Linked DNA regions of Sus scrofa. The protein of the gene in region 2 purifies or fractionates together with the protein of the main gene of each other region. This does not show direct contact. Links are inferred from orthologs where the notes say so. Each region holds a gene or a part of one and is shown on either strand. Other genes may lie near its edges. The genes, in order: GRB2, ALK, SHC1 and PLCG1.

What was found.
Region 1: the proteins of ALK (region 2) and GRB2 purify together in Homo sapiens (affinity purification with western blotting; 3 studies listed by BioGRID and IntAct, with this or other methods). This does not show direct contact. The link is inferred for Sus scrofa from reciprocal best matches to the Homo sapiens genes ALK and GRB2.
Region 3: the proteins of ALK (region 2) and SHC1 purify together in Homo sapiens (affinity purification with mass spectrometry; 3 studies listed by BioGRID and IntAct, with this or other methods). This does not show direct contact. The link is inferred for Sus scrofa from reciprocal best matches to the Homo sapiens genes ALK and SHC1.
Region 4: the proteins of ALK (region 2) and PLCG1 purify together in Homo sapiens (affinity purification with western blotting; 3 studies listed by BioGRID, with this or other methods). This does not show direct contact. The link is inferred for Sus scrofa from reciprocal best matches to the Homo sapiens genes ALK and PLCG1.

The regions. Positions count from the first base shown.
Region 1 is NC_010454.4:5,938,499-5,944,259, forward strand, and holds the start of GRB2 (growth factor receptor-bound protein 2), read left to right. Parts: upstream 1-2,224; 5' UTR 2,225-2,355; intron 2,356-5,761. UniProt on the Homo sapiens protein: Non-enzymatic adapter protein that plays a pivotal role in precisely regulated signaling cascades from cell surface receptors to cellular responses, including signaling transduction and gene expression.
Region 2 is NC_010445.4:109,409,234-109,415,134, reverse strand, and holds the start of ALK (ALK tyrosine kinase receptor), read right to left. Parts: upstream 3,990-5,901; 5' UTR 2,964-3,989; coding exon 2,273-2,963; intron 1-2,272. UniProt on the Homo sapiens protein: Neuronal receptor tyrosine kinase that is essentially and transiently expressed in specific regions of the central and peripheral nervous systems and plays an important role in the genesis and differentiation of the nervous system.
Region 3 is NC_010446.5:94,820,173-94,826,161, forward strand, and holds the start of SHC1 (SHC-transforming protein 1), read left to right. Parts: upstream 1-2,661; 5' UTR 2,662-3,017; coding exon 3,018-3,512; intron 3,513-4,080; coding exon 4,081-4,151; intron 4,152-4,740; coding exon 4,741-4,804; intron 4,805-4,956; coding exon 4,957-5,076; intron 5,077-5,352; coding exon 5,353-5,406; intron 5,407-5,598; coding exon 5,599-5,650; intron 5,651-5,820; coding exon 5,821-5,947; intron 5,948-5,989. UniProt on the Homo sapiens protein: Signaling adapter that couples activated growth factor receptors to signaling pathways. Participates in a signaling cascade initiated by activated KIT and KITLG/SCF.
Region 4 is NC_010459.5:43,833,305-43,838,532, forward strand, and holds part of PLCG1 (1-phosphatidylinositol 4,5-bisphosphate phosphodiesterase gamma-1), read left to right. Parts: coding exon 1-109; intron 110-190; coding exon 191-276; intron 277-347; coding exon 348-468; intron 469-1,118; coding exon 1,119-1,287; intron 1,288-1,652; coding exon 1,653-1,775; intron 1,776-1,854; coding exon 1,855-1,956; intron 1,957-2,035; coding exon 2,036-2,223; intron 2,224-2,427; coding exon 2,428-2,628; intron 2,629-2,698; coding exon 2,699-2,818; intron 2,819-2,908; coding exon 2,909-3,089; intron 3,090-3,928; coding exon 3,929-4,006; intron 4,007-4,746; coding exon 4,747-4,850; intron 4,851-4,964; coding exon 4,965-5,061; intron 5,062-5,228. UniProt on the Homo sapiens protein: Mediates the production of the second messenger molecules diacylglycerol (DAG) and inositol 1,4,5-trisphosphate (IP3). Plays an important role in the regulation of intracellular signaling cascades.

The DNA.
Region 1 (5,761 bases), on a different chromosome or scaffold from region 2:
TATAGGTTATAGAGCAAGGCAGGTGTAGGTTCAAATCTCAGATCTAGGGGTTCCCTGGTGGCTCAGCAGGTTGAGGATCCAGCATGGCCACCACTGTATCTTGGAGTCATTGCTGTGACATGGGTTGGATTCCTGGCCCTGAAAAGTCTATATGCTGTAGCCGCGGCTAAAAAAAAAAAAAAAAAAAAAAAAACACCAAAAAAACTCAGATGGAATGTACTGGGGTTTCCTTGGGTAACTTCCTAACCGCTTTAAGCCTCAGTTTCCCAGTCTGTAAAATGGAGAGAGTATCCAGTGTAAAAACACCATGATATCAGCATACATCACGTGGTAGATAGATGGTCCTCTTGTTCTTTTCCCCTCATGCCAGACAGCTCCTGCTCAAAACCCTTCAGAGGCTGTCATTTGTCAGCAAAGCCTCAGCCGCACATCTTGGCCTTGCCTCCCATTACTCTGCTCCCTGGATCCTAAACTCTGGCTGATCTGGAAGACCAGCGATTCCATCACTCCCCCTCCCTGTTTCCAGGTTATAGTTCAAATGCCAAGTCCTCCCTGATTGCCTGAGCTCCAGGTAACTGGCCCCCTCCTTTGCAGGTCCTACATGTGACCCTTAGGGCCAACTCTTCTGTCTTGCAGACCAGACAACTCTCCTCTAGAAGACAAACTGCTGAAAACAGAGGCTCTGTCCAGTTCATTTATCACCCTGCGTGCCACGCATGCAGCTGATGCTTGACAAATACTTGGTGAAAGAATAATTCATACTCTTTATTTCAACGGGCTTGTTTTCTTCAGGGAATCATGTTTTGTTTTGTTTGTCTTTTTGGCCTTTCTAGGGCCCAGGCTAGGGGTCCAATCAGAGCTGTAGCTGCCGGCCTACGCCAGAACCACAGCAATGCGGGATCTGAGCCGCGTCTGCGACCTACACCACAGCTCACGACAACGCCAGATCCCCAACCCACTGAGCAAGGCCAGGGATCGAACCCGCAGCCTCATGGTTCCTAGTCAGATTCATTCACCACTGTGCCAGGACAGGAACTCCCACGTTTCTTAATTTTTATATCTTGCTCTTTTGGTGGCTTCCGGAATTCACATCACCGTCAGATGCTCTGTTCTCTCCTTTGATTGGGACTGAAAAATAAGAGTTACTCCTCCAAGCCTCATCTTCTGCCACTACCAGGTAACTCACCCCGCCTCATACAGGAATCAAACTACTTCGCGTTGCAGGGAACACGATGCCCACGCCTCCGTTCCCTCGTACGTGCGTGCTGTTCCCTTTGCCTGGAATGCCCTTGCAATGGCTTCTCTGGCAAACTCCTACTCATCCTCCAAGACAGCTCAGATAACGCCACAGCGTTCTCCGAGAACGCTTTTCTGAGATGGGAGGAGCGGCGACCCCTCGCCTCTCCTCAGCCTTCTCCAAATAATTCTGACCGTACTTATGGTATTATTTGTTCTTTCCCTCCTATAGATCTTGAATTCGTTTCTGTGCAGAAAGGGCCCGGATTTCTGTTCTTAGTTGGACCCTCTATACTTGACACAGTGCTTAGAATGTACTAGGCACTTGGTTCAATCGATGAGCGAACGAATATGTTCATTCACCTAACGCAGCAGAGTTTGTTTGGACCAGATTCTCAAATATTTCCAGACCTGATCCTCTATTTGGCTTGCTTCACGTGGGAGGGAGATTCCCCCCCAACCCCGCCAAACTGGGTTGGTGGAAGGGGAAAACGAAGTGATTAGGGTGTGCATAAAAGTCCTTTCTTGGCTGGGGGAAAAATGTAATTGTAATGTATACATGTAAGGATAACCTGACCCCCTTGCTGTACAGTGGAGAAATAAAAAAAAAATAAGTTGATATCGGCCATCAAAAGTAATATGACAATTGAATCATGCAAATGTGGGGCATAAAAAAAAAAAAGTCCTTTCTTTCGGAGGTGAGTTGTAATTGACCCGCTCTGGCACCGAAAGGGTTACGGCGACCCAGGGGTGGAGCCCTGTCGGTGCCACCTGCTGCGGGGCGGCCTGGCGCCTGCGCTCTGGCCTGTAGCTGATCTACCTGCGGGGGGCCTGGCGGAGGAGGAGCGCTTGCGCTCTGGGCCTTTTCCGCCGGGGGAAGTCTCGCGGGGGCGGGGCGGGGCGGGGCCGCACAGGGAAGTTCTCGCGGGACCCCGACCAGGAGCGGAAGCGAGGCGGCTGTGCTGCTTCAGCTACCGGACCGCGGCGGCGACGACGAAGACTGTGGCGGTGACGGCGGCGAGAATAGGCGCTGCCCTCGGGGAGCAGCAGAGGGGTCTGCGGCCGCTCGCACCGCTGCAGAGGGGCCGGCCGGGCGTGGAGCGGAGCAGCTGCGCCACGGTGAGTGTGGCTGGCGGCGACGGCGCTGCTCGCGTGCTGCTTCCTCCCCGCTTCGTCGCGGGAGTCGGCCCCGGGGGACCGGGCCCAGGGTACCGTGGGCTGCCGGGCCTGGGGGTCGGGAGTGCGAGGCTCCGGGCGGGGAGCGGAGCGCCCGGGCTCCGGGCTCCATGTTTCCCCTTTTGGGGCGCTTCCTTCCCGGGGACCGTCCTCTCAGTACCCTTGGCTTGGAACAGAGCCCTGGACGAGAGGCTGGGGGCTCCTGATTTAATTTTATGCTTTCTTCGTGAAGGTTTGCACAGGGGGGACCCGGAGAAGCCCGAGAACACAGGGTAATCATTCTGTGAGTCAGTGTGACTTGGCCCGGGAGGCGGGGGATTCGAGGCGGGTTGCAAATATGGTGATTGATGCTCCTTCGACCTATACGGCCACCACGTCACCAACTCCTGGTGTTTGGGGGCCGAATTTTGGGAGGAAACCCACCAACCCTATTAATACTGTGAGCGAGGACGTTTGTTACCGGAGCCAGTAGAAATACCTTTACTTTTATTGCGCTTTTTTTTTTTTTTTGACTGCTTCCCTAAAAACATTTGTTAAGAAAAGTAAGCAGCAGTTAATCGGAATGCTCCGAAGAAAGATTTCCGTGATCGAGGGCAGAGAATCGCTGGCACTTTTCATTTGCAGCTCTCTCTGTGTATAGGATTGTAAAGCCATGCTAGTTAACAGCTTATTTAGGGAGTTCACCTAGGCTGGCTTCAGATGCAGCAAAAGTATACTTTGCAGAAGAGCCGAAGTGCCCTCGCGGGTTCTGTCTTTTGCTACTCTTGAGTCTCAGAAGAGGGTGGAAAAGAAAGGCGCACTAGAGAAATTCGCTTTAGTCTTCTGGGCTTTCTAGTCCCTCTGTTCACTTTGCACTCCACAGTTGCTGCCTTTCTAAACTTCTCCCTTGTCTTCTGCGGCCACGAAATGCTTACTCCGTATAATGCAAGTCACTTGCCCCCTCCCCCCTTTTAGTCTAATCTACTTCCCCTTCCTCCTTATTGTCCCTTTTGGCATAATTTTTTGAGGTTTCTGCTCTTTCGCCCGTTCGTTTTTCTCCCTCATTTAAAGATTCCGTTTCTCTCCCGGAAAGATGATGCCCTCTTCCCTGCTTTATCCTTTGCTGTGAAGCGTCCACTGTGTTTCTTCAGTCAGCCAGAAGGGTTGCTAGAGAGCTGTGCGAGACTTAAGGTCTCCCCCTGGGAGCTGGGAGGCTCAAAGGATTGAGTTCAGCCGTAACCAATACTGCACTAATACTGCACTAGATCACAAGTGTAGCTTGCTGGTGTTTTTGTGTTTTAGTTGTTTTTTTTCACTTTTAGATCGCATTTTTGTGCCTGCTCAGGTTTTTCTATGTCTCTCTTATGTTAGTAAGGAAGATTGGGTCAATTTGGGGCTCATATGCCTTCTTTTTGGCTTTTAGCGGGGGAGGCGACTTAAAAAATGAAAACCAACCATAGACACCTATATTACAATCAAGAGAGCTTGAACCATTTAAGGGAATAGAATTTATTTAGACTACTGATGAATTAATTAAAGCTTGCCTGTTGGAGTAGTACTAACTTATTCTTTCCCAGGCTTTTAAAGATCAGGTGTCTCTTCCTGCATCTGCTATAAGCAGCCTTCTTTGTTATTGTTGCTGGGCTTGAGGGGGGAAGGCGGTTGACAGAAAGAAATAACTATGTTCTGTTGGCCTTTCCTTTGTTTAAAATGTTCTGAATCCCCCAAATTTAAAAAGGTTAATTCTTGTAATCAGCTTTGTTTGTTACTAAAAGCAAGCACTCAAATGCTTGAGGCAGTTTACTTCCTCAGCAAGTGTGTTCAGATTTGAGGGATTACTAGGTTTTTCAATACAACTAATTGATGGTACTTAGAGATTTTTCCCCGAAATTCTTGTTACCATGTTGCACATTGTGTAGCAACAGTTCTAATGGTTACTTAGAACAAAAAAGTAATAGATTTTGGAGAAATGAAGTAATACGGAATAGAGACCCACTATGGTTTCCTGAGAGAAATTAATAGTTATTCGCTTAATTCAGAAGACATTTCTGGCACTCCTGAATGACTATTGAGAGCCTTTGTTTTTTTTTTGTTTTTTGTTTTTTGTTTTTTTTTTGTCAAAGTTGGCTTTTTCACAGTTGTGCCAAGTGGATAGGCGTTATTTTCAATTTATGCAAAGACATTATGCATCATCTGAGATGTAAACTTTAAAATCTGGTAAAGATACCTTTACAGTACAGCATGATTTTTTAAATTTAGCATGCATAAGAATTACCTATGAATCTTAACTTAAAATTAGGTTCTGGAGTTCCCGTTGTGGCTCAGTGGTTAACAAACCTGCCTAGGATCCACGAGGACGAGGGTTCGATCCCTGGCCTCGCTCAGTGGGTTAAGGATCCAGTGTTGCTGTAAACTGTGGTGTAGGTCGCAGATGCGGCCCCATCCCACATTGCTGTGGCTGTGGTGTAGGCCAGCGGCTTCAGCTTCAATTCTTCCCCTAGCCTGGGAACTGCCATATGCCACAGGTGCAGCCCTAAAAAGACAGAAGACCAAAAAAAGAAAAAAAAAATTAGGTTTTGGGCCTAAGGCCACTGTGCTGCAGAACTTCAGAAGGCACCTCGTAGTGAATCAGTCCCTGAAAGAGGTGATTTTGATGTAGCTGGTCCAAGGACCAAAACTGTTGTTACAGAATGCATCCATAAATTGAGATGGTAGTGTGGCTTTAAATTACTCAGCATAAAATTACACTTTCAGTGTATACAGAGTAAATTTTTAAAAGCCTAACAGAATAAGTGGCTGTAGATATGATTAGTTGTTGTATGTGTGAATATTTGAGCATTGTTAGGACTTGGTGTGGAGCTATTTAATTTGAAAGTTTATGCTTAATAGGGCTGTTAATTTGCCTGCCAGAGAGTTCTTCAGAGTATGTATGTAGATGGAAGTTCTGGATTATTGTGAGAACACGGGGGCCGATATTTGAGAAGGGGCTGGTGGTGCCGGTAAACACCTCTTAGCACTCTGTGCCGGGCACTCGGCTAAGGCCTTTTACAGGTGCTGACTCTCTTAATTAGTAAAATGACCTAATACGGTGTAGATGCCCTTATTTTCCCCATTTCCCAGCTGAAGGATACTAAGCATTAGAAAATGTAAGTTATTTCTCTACTGTTGCCCACTCAGTTAGTAAATGGTAAAGGGACAGTTGAGTCCAGGTCTAATTCCAGAGCATCAGTAAGATTTTGGTTTTTGTTTTTTCTAGCTACAAAAGCAGTTCATGCTTATAGTAAGGACAATGAAAATACAATCGAGATGTATGGTAGGAAAGTAAAAATATTCTGTGATCTCATTTCCAGAGATAATTATTGTTAACCTT
Region 2 (5,901 bases):
CTGAAGTGCTTTTCAATAAGCCGTCTGTCTCTCTGGAGGTCATGGGGAGCTCATCCAGTTACACTTAGTGTCTTATTTGATCCCATCAATAATCATTTGATCCCAATCCTACTGAAAAATACTTGGCGAAAATTTCTAGCCTTTTAATGGCAGAATTCTGGCTCTTTCTAAAACCAGCATTGCTAGAAGTGTCAAATGATGCATAAGGGCTTGGTCCAGCTGCCAAATGAACTGTGCTGCTGAGGGAGGACTTCGTGTGTTCATTGTGCTTCCCTACTGCCAGTAGCGGATCAGCTCCTAGAGCACACTAATCTCTACATGAAACTCCCCCACTCAGCAGCTTCAACTCTTTATCTAATGCGTGACTGGAATACGTGTGTGTAACTGTGTGTCTCTTCAGAGACACCACTGATTACTTCATGCAATCTGCTTTCTTACAGTAGGTAAGTTCAGGGCTGCAGAAAGGACCCCTCTTGCCCATCACCAACATCTGACAACAGCTGGATCTAGACTGCTAGGGCCTAGGACCATTCAACAAGAGGTAACGAGAAATCTCCAGAGATGCTCAGAGACACAAAAGTGAAAGAAAATCTGCATTCCCAGAGAAGTAATTTTTATATCCATTACAAAAACATTAGGCACTAAAAGAGAATGTTGCATGTATAAACCACAGAAGCCAAGACAACATTAAAGCACAGCTGTTCTTTACAAAAGTATCCATGGTGAGGCAACAGTATTGGTCTCCTATCTCAGTTCACAGAAGACACTATCAAATTCATCAGGCCCTGCCTCTTGCCATGGACTGGTATAAACTCCAACGTTGAACACAAAGGGGTCATTTTAGGTGTCAATGCCACTAATGGTAATGCTGAAATATTCATCCAGACTTTGATTTCCCTGGGGACCATATACCAATGTTTTCTCTGCCATGACTAAGAAAGCTTAGCTTCTGAATATCCCTGCTGCACGACTCTTGGGTGTATGTGGGAGGATATGTGTGTGTTGGGACAAGCATGAGAGATACTTGTAGCTCTACAATGGGCTTTTTTCAAGGCTTTCAGTCCAATTAATACTAGACATTAGTAATCAGTGGAGCATAAGAAGTTCATTTATTTCTGACGATGAGAATGACAGAAAAGATGCTGAGTTTTGCTCAATGGAATTAGTGTAGGCTTTTTAAAAGCATGATTTCTTTTCTGTGTTTTCTCAATCATTTACACTGCATATTTTATTTGCAAGTCTTTCCCCAGTGGTCTTACAAGAGAAACTGTCCATTCAAAATCACCTAGTTTTCCAGGCAAAGGATACTATGGGAAGAGTTAGAAGTAAGTGCCTGCATACACACCCCCAACTCAGTGAATATGGGAAGAAAATGAGAGAGTAAATGAAACAGAAACCTCATTTCAGGAATCTCCAACAGAGAGATCTGCAGTGAAATAGGCCTGGCAGAGACTGTAACCCAGATCTTCTGCTGCAGACATTCAAGCTAAGAATTAGAAGGAAGAAACTGAAGGCACAGGAAGAAAGGGAAATCAACCACTGTCTCTCCCTGGCTTCAGAGTGACTCCCTCAAAGGAAAACAATTTTGGCAACTTTGCTCCCTCCCTCCACATCTCCCTCCTGTCCCCTATCCCTTAGTTCCCGTGGGGATCTCCCAAGACATCTGAGAGGAAGAACAAGAGTCTGTGAGTGGAGAGCAGCCTGGGGTTGGGTGGAGAATAGAATGAATTTATGAGGAAGAGGCAATTCCTAGGTAAACCAACATTTAGAGGGCATAGTTGGGTGGGATTTAACAATATGAAGAGGAGTTCTATATTCTCTGAGAAAGTGTATCACGTTCCCCAAACCTGTGGTGGCCAGAAAGAGGAACAAGAGGAAAAGAAGAAAGACAACAATTTTGAGATCTAGAACTAAGCCTTCGGAACACAGAAGTAATAAAGGGATTTCAAACGTCCCAGAAACCCCAGAAGACAGGCATTCAATTTTAGCTAAGATCTTGTGTAAGATAGTAGAAATCGTCATTCTCCCAAGACCAGGAAACTTTTTCCCCAAAGTGGTTGCTAGATAGAAAGGGAGAATCCCTTGGAGAGTGACTGTTCAGGGATAAAAATTTTTAAATATGGTCTAACTGAAAAAGGGGGGTTGCGGAAGGAGGGAAAGAAAGCTAAGAATCGCGAGCTGAGGTTTTGGAAATGAGGGTTAGTAAATAGCGGTTGAAAACTGATGCGTGTAAGAAACCAAATCCCGAAACGCTCGGGCACGAGCTGCTCACCGGTCCTGGTCTCCAAGATCTGGAAGAGAAGGCGGGGCTGTGAGGCGCGGATCGCAGCGGACAGCCTTCCCTCTCTGCCCACTTCCGACGCCTTCTTCTCGGGCATCAGGCGGATCCTCAGCCGCCCTTCGCCGTGGCGAATCCACCAGCTGAACAGCTCACTGAGGTTGAACTGGAGCAGCCCCACCGTCGTCTCCTCGGGGGGCCCTACACAGCCCTCAAGGATCGCTTCCTCTCCGAGCTCCAGCACCAGCTGCTTGGCGCGCCGGAGCTTGCGAATAGAGCCTCCCTTCAGCACCCTGGACAGCGTCCGTGCCTGGGCCGGGGCGGGAGAGCTGGCACCTGCTGTCCAGGAGACCTCGGGTGAAGGCCCCACCAGCCTAAGCAGTGGGGCGCAGTCGAGAACCAGAGAGCCGCGTGCCTCCAGCCGGCCAGTCCTCGGTTCCGAGGGGGACAGCGGCGGCAGCAGCAGGTCCCGGGCATAGACGCGAAAGAGCGAGGGCACCACAAAGTCCACCGCCAGGCTCTTTCTCTGCAAGCGCGAGTAGCTAAGCGGCTCCCGGGGTTGCAGTGCCAGCCCCATGGCCGGTGAGACCACGCGCTGGCCGGTTTCTGTCCCAGTCCCGGAACTCGAGGCTGCCGCTAAAAGCAGCAGCAGCAGCAGCGGCCATAGAAGCCCTATGGCTCCCATCCCGTCAGAGAGGGGTTGTTTATACTATCTCCCGACTCTCCCAGATCCAGCCTCGCCCTCCGCTTCCCTTAAATGGGAAGGGGCTCCGAACAGTGTTGATCCTGAGCCGCTCCTTCCACCTGATCTCGGGGGTTTGTGCACTCGATTCTCTTTCCTCCAACTGCAAGGAGGCAAGCAGTAATCTCAGTAAAACGGAGCTGGAAGCTCAGGGGCGTGTCAAGAGACCCTGAAGCGCAAAGGGCTCAGCAGCTGGGACCTTGTGCCTCTCGCCCGCCTCGCGGAGTGCCGCGCCCCGGGTTTTGCAGCTCACTGCGCCTGGAATGAGAGAGACGACTACGGTTAAAGAGAGATGGCAACTGGGTACCGTCCTCTCCTGCCCCCCGCGGCCTGAGCTGTGGTCTGTCCTCTCTTGCGCGGCCTTCAATCCTCTGCAACTTTCCTACTGTGAAAGGTGGCTCCGAGCTGGTCTGTTGTCCGGTCCGCCTCCTGAGCTGCCTTCGGCTCCTCTGAGCTCCTCTTCCTCGTCTTGAGAGGGAACCGAGGGCAACAGCTGCTTTCGCGCGCACCCTCCTGCGACCCTCTGCAGTGGGAAGTCTTCCGATTGCACTACTCACTGAACTTCTGGACCTAAACCGAGACCGCGCTGAGGAACGGACGCTCAGGCTGCCGCCGCGCAAGTTTGCAGCGTCCTTGCTCTCCTTCAGCGTCTGGTCTCAGAGTTCTGAGGCACCAAAGCGGCCCCAGCGGCCGCAGCCGAGTGAAAGCATTCAGGGCCGGAGAGACCGAAAGCTTGCTGCCCCCTCCTCACCCATCGGCAGCTCTCTCGGCTTCAGTGGCTGGCCAGAGAGCGACTGGAAGTCGCCTCTGTGCCCCGCGACCCTCAGGATCGTGACAGCGGGGCTGCCAGCTGCTACCGCCCCCAGAGCTGCTCTAACGCATCTGCCGGGGCGCCAGCCACTTGCAGCTGGCTGAGCCGCGAGCGCGCGCCGAGAGGGGGCGGGGCAGGATCGGGGGCGGGGCTCGAATGCCCACTCTCTGCCGCTGCAGGGCCCACGAAGGCCCGCCCCGCCCCGCTCGCACTCGCCAGCCAATTGCGCGGCGAGGTCGGCTCCTATGTAAATCTGCAGAAGACTCTGCTTTCATTGAGAAAAGCAAAGAGCCCTCCCCGCCCTTCCTCCATTCCTCTTCCCCCTCTCCTTCCTTCTCCTCCTCCAGATCCCCTGCCCTATTTCGCTGCTGTGTACAGAAAGAAGCGTGTTTTGGTAAATGGGAGGACTGGAAGAACAATCAAGCACTCTCCCTGATTTTGCATTTAAACGGGTCCGACTTCGGAAAAGCAGTTCTGGAATAAAACTGGAGGCCAAAGGAAGGGAGGAGGGGGAGGAGGGGGAGGAGGGGCAGAGCGACGTCGCCAAATTTGGGGGGGGACGGTCAGGGGGTGGGAAGTGACTGGCAATCTGCAGAGTTGTCATTCAGCTATAACAAACAAATTTCAGACCTCAGTCACCCCACGTTTACTCAGAATGCTGTTTAAATGTGTCACCTTATTTACATTGCAAGGTAAATATTTTAGGGATAAGGAAACCGAGTCACAGAGATCTTAACTGATTTTCCTAGGGTAACATAGTCCTACGTGCCTCCCAAGCTCTTACCCACTGCTCTGCCATACCCCTCTAGGAGTAACAGGCCAAGAAGATCTAGAAGTGACTTATCTAGAAGGAATAATGATCAGTACTCTTGCACACAGCCTTGGGAGTAAGAGTTCAGAACTGCAGGCCCGTTTTTATTCACCTGTGAAGTGAGAGCTGTATATTTCATCTCTCCATTGATCTCTCCTGAGTTACTATCATAGGATCTGGATAAATGCTGTGTTTACAGCAAGAGGTTCACTAAAATCATAGACAAAAGTACAGTCTTTGGTGCACAGAGTGGAGCTGAATCTCCCTTATGGAGCAGCAAAGAATGATCTATTCCAGAAAAGTGATGCTCCTACCTTGGTAGAGGAAGGAAAGGAAAGAGGGAAAAAAAAGAAGAGGAAGAAGAAGGTATGTTGGTTAATTCTTTCCTAGCATGTGAGCAAATAAGTTTAGATTTTCGTCGGACATCACTGGCATGCATATTGGTGGAGGGGTAATTTTTGTTTTGAAACACTAGAAAGACTAAAATGTAGGTCCTTTTATTCCCCACTCCAGCCCTTATTTCTCTATATAATTCTTGTCCAAAGTCAAATTGACTCCAGGAATTTGTCAATAACTATGAATTGGCTACAATCAATGGCCACTAGGGGGCTGCAGAGACTTTCAACTTCAGGTGCCCAGAAGGTTTACCATTCTCCCAAATAATCACCAAGACCATTGCCTATGAACCTAGTGGACACAGGAGTCTCAATTAATTATCATGCTTTTATAAACTTTCTCAAATTTCCCAAAAAGAAGGACAAGTGCCTCCCACTACAGACTAAATAATTTTTAAGTATTAAAAATATGGTTACCTTTTTGTTAATTTAGAAAAAGAGGCAGAAATGAGTTTTGACAGAGTTTATCTGTCACTATACATATGGATTTGTAAAACAAAGAGTGTGTGTGTATGTGTGTGTGTGTGTGTGCGCACACGCATGTGTATCACATCATATAGTGGCCTTCTGAGAAAAGGTACATATTTTATTTCCATTGCAGAGACAAAAAAGCTAAGGCTCAGAGAGGCAAAATAATTTGCCCAAGGTCAAACAGCAGGTAAATAACAGAGCTAGAACACACATCAGTGATTCTTTTCCTCCAAAATTTACATATCCCACTGAGACAAATTTGGCCTCTTCCCCAAGCCTACAGCTACAATTTTGACATTTCTATGCTATATATATATCATTGCCACTGGGCAATAGAAAAGAGCAGTTCAGAGCAAGTGGACAAAATAGAAACAGATTAAAAGTATGAGCAGA
Region 3 (5,989 bases), on a different chromosome or scaffold from region 2:
GCTCCCTGAACCCCGACTTATTTTCCGTTTATTGTCCCCGACCCCACCCCGTCGCCCAGCTTTCCTGGAAGTCCCACCCCTAGACATGCTTCCAAGCCTTACTCCTAGAAACCCAACGTTAAGTCTTTCCAATTACCCGAAACCCCGCCTCGCGACGATTCTCCGCTAACTCCTGTCTGTCAAAAAGCCTATCTCCCCAAAGGGCAAAGCCCTGCCCCTCAAAGATCTGCTTGAATTCGTGAAGCCACTCCTCTCTAGGGTTTCCGCCCCTCTAGAAGCTCCGCCCCTTCCCTAATCCACGTCTGATCGCCCAGAAGCCTGGCCTCCTGGAAATCTCTGATGCACGCGTCCTAAGGGACCACGCCCCCTCAAGATCTTTATCCCTGTAGGTCCCAGGTCATCGCCTGGGGAGCTTTGTCTTCAGCCCCTGGAACGTCACCTGCTTACATTTCCCTGTTCTTTTTCTCTTTGGGGCCTCTAGCTCAATTTTCCTGAGCTCTCATGCTCCACCGGGTAGGAAGGCAAAAGTTCACATCTCTGGTTCTGAGAAGTAAGAGATTAGAGGCAGCCCTTGTCCTTATCCCCTTACAAGGGTGGACCTACTTGTAGGGGGCTGGACTTGGGGTTTGGCACGAGAGCGGGAGGGAGACTTGCTCATAGACTCCCAACCCCACTCCCTGAGTTTCCCTTCCCAGGACCGACTCCACCCCAGAAACAGCTGTTTGTCTCATACCTGTCCATCGTCGTCGTCGTGGTCATCGTCGGGAGCTGGGTAGGGCCATGGATTTGTTGATGTGCGACATGTGGGTGTGACAGAAGCGCAAATTTTCTATCACCAGAAAGTGGCTTGCAGTGGGTTAGGGAACAGTGTCCTTTTTGCTCTTTGATTTTTTTTTTTTTTTTTTTTAAGGGCCTCCTCAGGCCGCAGCATTTCTCTGGCTCTTCCCTTCCCCCTAACCAGAGTTCTAGTCTGGGCATTCCTCTTTCCCGCTTGCCCAGCCTTCCCTTCTGGAAACATTCCTGAGGCTTTCGCCATTTCCTGCTACTTTCCGCCGCTCTTGCCTCCTCCTCCCTACTGGGCTGAGGCGCCACACGCAGCTTCTTCCCCACACCCAGAGGCCAGGACTCTCAGTAGCAATCTCTTTTCTTCCTACGTAAATTTAAAGAGCCCTGCTTCCTCTCTTTTGTCTGACGATGCCCACACCTGTTGGTCATCCACGACCTCTGGATCCTGCAGGCAGCCACCAAATGCCTGCCTCTGAAGATGAGCACATCCTGGTGTGTGTTTGTGTGTGTGGAAGGTGTGAGGCTCCGGCAGCATACTTTCTTCATTCTCTCTAGGCCTGGGAGCTGAGGCCTTAGGAAAGAGAGCCATAGAGTTTCTTCCCAGGAGTGGCAAATGGAGTGGCAAAGCTCTCCTCCGTTGTGGACCAAGAGGAGGTGATAAGCACAGTGTCTGACACGTTCGAAGTGCTGGTGCTGTTGATCACTATAATCCTATGATTATTTGCTGTCTTTTTATCCTGGGAGATAAATTTAAGGATAGATATTCCGAGGCCAGCCTGGGGGGCTATATATATCTTTCACTCTTTATTTCTTGGTCACTTTCCAGCTGCCTCCATGGCCCCCTCGAGCAGAGCTGGCGTGAAGCTGTGGGTGGAAGGAATGGGTTTGAGACTGTTTCCTGTGTCCAGCCTCAGTCCTCCTTTTCCTGGCACTCCTTTCCCCTTGGCACAGATTGGTCTTCTGCCTACCCTATCCCTTCGTGGCCTGTAGCCCCCGTCCCCCTCCTCTTGGAGAACTGTTTCACTCTCCCCTCCCCAGCCAGACGCTGCCCCTGGCGGGGTGGGGCCTCGGGCTCTGTGGTGGATACCTGTACTCTCTAGGGTCCCTACGGCCAGAGGAGGGGTAGGAGCTTACCTGCAGGTCCAGGGCACTGACGTTAGTGTCAGTGCCCTGGCAGCCCCCACCCCTCCTACCCTTGATAACTTGCTTGGCTGCGGAAAGTGGTGGGGGGCTGCAGAAGGGTGCCTGGCATGAGTTGCTGCTCCTTGGCATGGTAGACGCCATGCAGAGAACAAGCCTCCACCAGCCTGTCGTCTGCTCCGGCTCCTGCCTGGTGGCTCCCTGATGCAACACCCATCATGATGATGAAGTAAGGGACTTCATTCCCTTACTTCACCAGCTCTGCCCTTCCCCTTGGCCCCTCTCTGCATCCACCGGGACCATGTCCTTCCTTTTCCCATTTCTGTAGCTCCCTCCCCGGCTGTTGCAGCGGAGGATGCTAATGACCGAGACTAGGGGGTGCTGGGGGATGAGGGAATCTGAGTGTTCGACCAGGACAGGAAGGGAAATGCTGAGCTCAGGGATCCCCTCCCTTTCCCACCCCCAGCTGCCTCTGTTTCCTCCCTCATTCCCCACTCCCCCCACCAGCTTCCTGCTCCCTTTGACCTGCCCATGTCCGGTTTGGATTGATCCAGACCTCCTCTTATCGCCCTCCTTTCCTTCTCACCCCTCCATCCTTCCCTTCCAATCCCACTCTACTCCTCCCTAGATTACATGTTGTTTGTACGGGGTGGGCCGGGGTGGGGGCGGGGGGGGGGACGGGGGTGGGGCGGGCGGTGGGGGCACGGTGCACTCTGCCCCGAAAGAGTTCTAGGTTGGGGCGGTGTTGGGGGCTCAGCCCCTCAGAGCCTGTGAGTCAGCACTGTCCACGGGATTGGTCTCTCCCCTTTGCTCCCCGCCCCTGGGGAGGAGCCAGGCAGCTCTAGGTCCAGCCTGTTCTCCTCTCAGCCAGAGAAGAGGCTCCACGCTGGGCAGAGATGGGGCCTGGAACTGTCTGGGTCTGAGCCGCGGGAGCCAGAGCCACTTGTCCCTCTCCCTCCCCAGGACCCTTGAGACCCCTGGGCCACAGAGGTCCGATCAGGCTAAGGGCCTGGGGATGCCCCCTGCCTGGCCCCCTTGCCCTGACTGGCAGGGGGGCCAGGCTGGGCAGCAGCCTCCCTCTCACTCCAGCCATGGATCTCCTGCCCCCCAAGCCCAAGTACAACCCACTTCGGAATGAGTCTCTGTCATCGCTGGAGGAGGGGGCTTCAGGGTCCACTCCACCAGAGGAGCTGCCTTCCCCGTCAGCCTCGTCCCTGGGGCCCATGCTGCCACCTCTGCCAGGGGACGACAGCCCCACCACCCTGTGCTCCTTCTTCCCCCGGATGAGCAACCTGAAGCTGGCCAACCCAGCTGGGGGGCGCCCAGGGCCGAAGGGGGAGCCAGGAAGGGCAGCCGAGGATGGGGAGGGGACCGTCGGGGCAGCTGTACCCGACTCGGGCCCCCTACCCTTCCTCCAGGACATGAACAAGCTGAGTGGAGGCGGCGGGCGCAGGACTCGGGTGGAAGGGGGCCAGCTGGGGGGCGAGGAGTGGACCCGCCACGGGAGCTTCGTCAATAAGCCCACGCGGGGCTGGCTGCATCCCAACGACAAAGTCATGGGACCCGGGGTTTCCTACTTGGTTCGGGTGAGTGAGCGTCCTCCCTCCCTGACCCCTTCAGTTCCTCTGCTCATGAGTCTCTCTTTTTCGCCCCTTCTTTTCCCCAGCAACTCCCTTGGTTTCCGTGTCCTGTTTCTTAAGCCTTTTGTGCGCCTTCTCTGATTCTGTAGCCCCTTCTCTTCCAGCTCTGTCTGGGTCCCCTTGGGTCCTGCGACTCCCCCACCCCTACCCCCAGCCTGCCATGCTCAGCACAAAGCCCAGGACAGGCCCTTAGTAAGTGTTGGAATGAGTGGCTCTTGAGTGACTCCCCTCCAGTCTGCTCCCCCTTTCTGGAGTTGTCACTCCATCCCAGCCAGGGCCTGTCGCTCCCCTCCAAATTCCCTCCCCCCACCCCCCACTGTGCAGGAGGTCCTCCTAGCTCGCCCTTCTCTCCTCACCCCCTATTGTCCTGCACTCTGTGGGATGGAGCCACGGGCAGCGGGGCAGAACTTCATCTCTTCTTCCCTGAGGGACCACGTAGGGCAGAGTCCTACGGCCCTTTGTGAAGAGGCTGGAGGGGGGCGGCTGACTCTCCTCCTCGCATCCCTCCCCTCAGTACATGGGCTGTGTGGAGGTCCTGCAGTCGATGCGCGCCCTGGACTTCAACACCCGGACTCAGGTCACCAGGTTCGTGGGGAGGCGGGGCCGAGAGCGCAGGGCTCCTGGCATTCAGGCCGGGAGGGGGTCGCTTGGTGGTGGTGGCTAGTGCTGGCTTGTCTTTGGGTGGGGAAGGCGATTTAGAGACAGGTAGGAGAGTCAGTCTAAGTCTCAATGAAAAGAGACAACTCTGACCCGGCTCCTTCTACGTATCCAGCCTGGGGAGTTGTGGGGGAGGTGGCAGAGGCAGCTGGCAGCTGGAGCTTGAGTGGAAAATGGGGGTAGATGGAAGGTTGCTGCCCGCCGCTGCCGCCGCCACCACCGCCGCCACCACCACTGCCGCCACCACCACCACCACCACCACCACCGCCTTTGGGAAGGGGCTGGGACATTTGGTAGCTGGAAGGGGGTGGGGCCAGACCCACTGAGGCCCTAACCCAATCAGCCAGGAAGCGGCCTCTCAGTGTCATCAAATATTAAAGGCCCTTAATTCAATCCACCACGACAAAGAGCCTGGAGTGCCCCTGGAGTCTGGCCTGGCCTTCCCCTCCCCCAGCCCTGTGGCAGCCCCAGCCGAGTGGGAGGCAGGCTCTGGGTCTGAGTACCCCTCTTTCCCCAGGGAGGCCATCAGTCTGGTGTGTGAGGCTGTGCCGGGTGCGAAGGGGGCGACAAGGAGGAGAAAGGTACCTGGGGTCCACGGCACGGGGGATGCTGCCGGGAGATGCGGAGGAGCAGGGGCAAGGCTAGTGTGGCGCGTGTGGGGAGAAGGGCAGGAGTGCGGGCGGTTTCCTGGTGTGGGATCTCCCAGCTTCTGAGACCTGGGGCCCTTCCCCAGCCCTGTGGCCGCCCACTCAGCTCCATCCTGGGGAGGAGTAACCTGAAATTTGCTGGAATGCCAATCACTCTCACCGTCTCCACCAGCAGCCTCAACCTCATGGCCGCAGACTGCAAACAGGTTGGTGGGGTGGAGTCAGGGTCAGGGCGGGGGGTGAGGGCGTGCAGAAACACCGATGGGAAGGCTCAGTGGGAACCTGGCCACGAGGGCAAGAACTTAGCAGAGAAGCCTTGGGCGCAGCAGAGCTGTAGGGAAGGTGTAGATTAGGAGGACATGGGTTGAGAAGCCAAAGGGACGCTGGGGTCCCGGGCCAGTGGTGGGGGGTGCCCAGTGGACCCTCAGGCTGCCTGACACCCGTCCTTCCCTTCCTTCTCCATCCTCTGCCCTAACCCTCAGATCATCGCCAACCACCATATGCAATCCATCTCGTTTGCGTCCGGCGGGGACCCGGTGAGTCGGGGAGTGCACCAAGGTGGTGGGAGAGGAGAGAGGGGCTTGGGATGGGGGGGGGGAAAACTGGCTAGAGAGGTGAGTGTGCTAGGACCGAGGCAATAGCTGCTTAGGGCCGGGTTTGAGGGGTCAGGACTGAGGTGGGGCTCTACCGTTGAGCTAACTGGCCTCTTCTGATTCTGTCTACCCCAGGACACAGCCGAATATGTCGCCTATGTTGCCAAAGACCCGGTGAATCAGAGAGGTGAGGCGTGGTGGGGAGCGCTGGGTGGGGCCGGCTGTCAGAGAGACAGGTGAGCAGGACCCGGGAGCTCAGCAGGGGCTCCTGCTGCGGAGAATGAGGGCGAGGGCCCCGTCTGTGCGTGCCCCCCGCCTTCCCCCCGAGTTCCCTGACAGCCTCTGCTGTGCCCCCAGCCTGCCACATCCTGGAGTGTCCCGAAGGGCTTGCTCAGGACGTCATCAGCACCATTGGCCAGGCCTTTGAGTTGCGCTTCAAACAATACCTCAGGAACCCGCCCAAGCTGGTCACCCCTCATGACAGGTGAGCAGGCGAGCGGTGGGGGGGGGCAGCTCTCGGGCTGGG
Region 4 (5,228 bases), on a different chromosome or scaffold from region 2:
TCCTGTTCTCCAAGGAGAACAGCGTGTGGAACTCGCAGCTGGATGCCGTGTGCCCAGACACCATGAACAACCCCCTTTCCCACTACTGGATCTCCTCCTCTCACAACACGTGAGTGGCCCGCTTGACCCCCTTGGCCTGACCTCAGGAGCTGGGGCTCGCCTGACCGCCCTGCCCCGCTTCCCTGTCCAGGTACCTGACCGGGGACCAGTTCTCCAGCGAGTCCTCCCTGGAAGCCTACGCCCGCTGCCTGCGGATGGGCTGCCGCTGCATTGAGTGTGCGTGGGGGCCGGCCTTGGGGGGGAAAGGGGAGGCCTGCCCGCGTGACTGTGGTCGCCTTGCTCCTCAGTGGACTGCTGGGACGGCCCAGACGGGATGCCGGTCATTTACCATGGACACACTCTGACCACCAAGATCAAGTTCTCAGACGTCCTGCACACCATCAAGGAGCACGCCTTTGTGGCCTCAGAGTGAGTGGGGTGGCTCAGCTCCAGCTCTCTCCTGGCCGCACCCCACCTTCCACCTCCTGCTGCCTGGCCTGCCAGAGCTGTGCTTCCTGCATCCTTAGCCCACCCTCTGCTTGAGGCCTTCTCCTCAGCCTGTGGTGCACAGTCAAGCTCTTCTCATCATCAAAATTACTTCCTTAGCCCTGGGCCCTGGGCCATTGTCCTGCCCACTGCTTTCCCCTCCCAACCCAGAGAATTGCCTGTGCTCCCTGTGTCTCGCTCTGCAGTTCCTGTTAGTCCTCCCAACCTGTAGTCATGGGGCTCTCCCACCTCACTGAGGGGGTCACCAGCCCCCCCACCCCCCATGGCTAATTTGGAGGCTGCTTGTCACCTCTCCTGACCTTGGGTGTGGGATGTTTCTCTTTGCTGCTGGGACAGCCTCCGTGGTTGGACCAACTCTGGGGACGCCTGTTGGCCACAGTCCCAGCCTTTGGTTTCTGCTGCACCCATAGTGCCTCTGTGAACCCTCCCCTCCTCCTGCGGTGGCAGGGCCCGCCTCTTCTCTGGGGTGGCTCTCTGGGGAAAGGACCTCAGCCCCTAGGCTCCCAGCTCGTCTCTTGGTGAGGACGTGAGCCTTGACGCTGCAGAATGGCAGGGTCTGTATCACGCACTAGGTACCCGGTCATCCTGTCCATCGAGGACCACTGCAGCATTGCCCAGCAGAGGAACATGGCCCAGTATTTCAAGAAGGTGCTCGGGGACACGCTCCTCACCAAGCCCGTGGACATCGCGGCCGACGGGCTCCCCTCACCCAATCAGCTCAAGAGGAAGATCCTCATCAAGGTAGGGCTGGCGTTCCTGTCGTGGCGCAGTGGTAATGAACCCACCTAGGATCCATGAGGATGCGGGTTCAATCCCTGGCCTCGATCAGTGGGTTAAGGATCCCGTGTTGCAGTGAGCTGTGGTGTAGGTTGCAGACACAACCTACTGTTGTTGTGGCTGTGGTGTAGGCCGGCATCTGCAGCCCCATTTGGACCCCTAGCCTGGGCACCTCCATATGCCATGAGTGTGGCCCTAAAATAGCAAAAAAAAAAAAAGGTAGGGCTGTGTGGGTCCCACCTCTGCTCCGGTGTCAGTCTGGGCCTGGGTGAGGGGGTGGGGCTCTGGGACCCAGGCTGGCATGCCATGTCCCGGCCTGTCCCCTGCAGCACAAGAAGCTGGCTGAGGGCAGTGCGTATGAGGAGGTGCCTACGTCTGTGATGTACTCTGAGAACGACATCAGCAACTCCATCAAGAACGGCATCCTCTACCTGGAGGACCCTGTGAACCACGTGAGGGCTGGGCCGGGCTGGGCCGGGGGCAGGGTGGCGAGAGGGCTGTCTCCACAGGCCTGGCTCCCCTCTCTTCCAGGAGTGGTATCCCCACTACTTTGTTCTGACCAGCAGCAAGATCTACTACTCAGAGGAGACCAGCAGTGACCAGGGCAACGAGGATGAGGAGGAGCCCAAGGAGGTGAGGGACTGGCCCAGGGCCGGGGGCTGGGCTGGGGTCAGGGTCATGGAGTGTCTCTGCCAGCGCCCTCCCCCTGCAGGCGAGCAGCAGCACAGAGCTGCATTCCAATGAGAAGTGGTTCCACGGGAAGCTCGGGGCGGGGCGGGACGGCCGGCACATCGCCGAGCGCCTGCTCACAGAGTACTGCATCGAGACCGGAGCCCCGGACGGCTCCTTCCTCGTGCGCGAGAGTGAGACCTTCGTGGGTGACTACACCCTCTCCTTCTGGTAAGCCTCCCTGCGCCTGCACATGTGGAGAGGGCGCCCCTGGGACAGCCACCCTGCAGCGTGGCACAGGTGCCCGTGGGCGCACAGGCTTCCTCAACGTGAAGACCCTGTGGGGCTCGCCTTTCTCCCCGAGACGGGGCGCCTCGCAGCGAGTGGAGGGTGGTCGGGCCGGCCTGCTGCTCACTGCCTCCCTGTCCCCCTCAGGCGGAACGGGAAAGTCCAGCACTGCCGGATCCACTCCCGGCAGGACGCTGGGACCCCCAAGTTCTTCCTGACAGACAACCTCGTCTTCGACTCACTCTACGACCTCATCACACACTACCAGCAGGTGCCCCTGCGCTGCAACGAGTTTGAGATGCGCCTCTCTGAGCCGGTCCCGCAGACCAACGCCCACGAGAGCAAAGAGTGAGGGCGGGGCCGGGGCGGGGCCGGGAGTGGGTGGGGGCGGGGCCAGGGCTGACTCCGGCGTCCACAGGTGGTACCACGCGAGCCTGACCAGAGCGCAGGCCGAGCACATGCTGATGCGCGTGCCCCGGGACGGGGCCTTCCTGGTGCGGAAACGCAATGAGCCCAACTCCTACGCCATCTCCTTCCGGTGAGGGGGCGCCCTGGGACCCCGGGGGTGGTGCCAGCACGCCTGGTCCCAGCTGTCCTGACCCTGTGTGACTGCTGTGTCTCTGTCAAGGGCTGAGGGCAAGATCAAGCATTGCCGTGTCCAGCAGGAGGGCCAGACTGTGATGCTGGGCAACTCGGAGTTTGACAGCCTCGTGGATCTTGTCAGCTACTATGAGAAGCACCCGCTGTACCGCAAGATGAAGCTGCGCTATCCCATCAACGAGGAGGCATTGGAGAAGATCGGCACAGCTGTGAGGACCTGGTGGCTGGGGGCAGTGGCGGGGGGGGGGTGCCTGGCAGGCCGCGGAGAGACCTGTGTGGTCCTCCAGAAATTCTCAGGCTTGCTGCCGGGCAGGGTGCACCTAAGGGTCCTTGGGTGATTGGATGGATGCAGTGGAGAGGCCCAGGGCATTTCAGCAGCTTGTGGGAGGGCTAGCTCGCCCAGCTGGGGGCACACAGGGTGCCAGGAGGTGTCCAGGAGGGAGTGGTCTCTGGGTGGTGTCCACAGGACAGGCATGAGTTAGGAGTGAAGAGGTGGAGACAGGCATTCAGTTAGAGTGTCCACAGTGGGCCGGGTAGGGAGGTCTTCACACTCTCACAGGGAGAGCCCAGGCCGGGGAGCACAGGCTCCACGCAGAGATGTGGTCGAGGCGGGCAGAGCCCCAGTGGAAGACCACTGAGGAAAGAAGGCAGGGTCGTGGCCACGGGGAGAAGGCAGGCGTCCAGAGTGGGAGGTATGTCCACTGGAGACTCTGGTCCGAGTGGGCCCAGGTGGCCAACAAGGCCACGGAGAGGGCTGCCGCCCGCTGGGGCTGGGAGGTGAGAGGTGTGTGCTGGGAGCACTTGGGGTGGCGGTGGGGGTCCTGGCGCCTGCATGGCTATGCCGTGCGCCTCGCCTGCAGGGCAGGTCTTCAGGAGCTGGGCTGTGGGCTGGGCAGTGAGGTGAGAATGTGGAAAGAGGGGCTGAGGCGTGAGGTTGGGGCAGCCCAGTGGACCAGGTGTCAGCGGTGGGGGCGGACTCGACGGGTCTCGTGAGGAAGCCAGCTTTCCTCGCTGGGTGTTAATGTCCTCTGTCCTGTCCTGTTTCCAGGAGCCTGACTACGGGGCCCTGTATGAGGGCCGCAACCCTGGCTTCTACGTGGAGGCCAACCCTATGCCGACTTTCAAGGTACAGCCTAGTGCTCTGGGCACAGGAAGCTGGGGAGGGTCCCCAGCTGCTCGGGGATTGCATTTCTCTGCTCAGGGCCGCCTGTGGTCTTTGTGGAGAAGTGGTGTTTGTGGTTTTCCGAGGCCTGAGCGGTGGTGAGAGGTATGCGGTTGATGCGCAACCGCAGCTCTCCCAGGGCTGACCCCTCCCAGGCCTTGTCCCTGGGGGTCAGCCCTGACTCTTCCCGACTGCCCCTGGGGTGAGCCCCCTTTCCTCCTGGGCCGGCAGCAGGACAGGGTGGGGGCACGCTGGCCAGAAGACGTCATTTTTTGCCGCTCCGCCCCCACACCTCCAGGGGGGGGTCTGTCAGACAGGACCTTCCTCGCTTCGCCTTTTCTTCTGAGGGACGAGGAGCTGTGTTCTGCCCTCACCCCCTTTCCTCGGCAGCCCGGGAGCCTGCGGGAGTCTCTTGCCTACTTGGCAGAGGAGGAATGGCGGGGTCCCAGCCACACCCCAAGGTCCCCTGGTCTCAGGGGAGGCACTCAGCACCCACAGACGCTCCCTTCCCAGCCTCCCAGCCTGACGCCCGGGGCAGGGGCTTCAGGGTTCCACCCAGACCCCATGGAGCTTCCCGCAGGCCCAGGGCCAGGACTGCAACGAGGGCGGGTTTCCGGCAGTGACAGCCGAGCCCAGGCACACGCGTGTGCGCAGGTGGAGCAGGGAGGGCCTGTCCGCCGTGCTCAGCGCGCCTCTCCCCGCAGTGTGCCGTCAAAGCGCTCTTCGACTACAAGGCCCAGAGAGATGACGAGCTGACCTTCACCAAGAGCGCCATCATCCAGAACGTGGAGAAGCAGGAGGGAGGCTGGTGAGGTGGCCCCGGGTTGAGAGCCTTGGTGCTGGCGGGGGTCCTGGGTGCCCATGGGCCTGCGCGGGAGTTTGGGGTGGTGGCTGGGGGTCAGCACCTTTATGGCTTCCACAGGTGGCGGGGGGACTATGGTGGGAAGAAGCAGCTGTGGTTTCCGTCCAACTACGTGGAAGAGATGGTCAGCCCTGCGGCCCTGGAGCCCGAGAGGGAGGTGAGAGCAGAGCCGTGTGGGTGGGGCAGATCCCCGGCACACGTGGCATCGGGGTGCCTGTGCGCACAGCCCCCTCGTAGGTGGTCCCTTCAGGCCCCGTGGAGCCTTGGTCGCACGTACCCGTGTCAGGTGTGTGTTTCACACGCACAGACGCCCCTCCCACATGT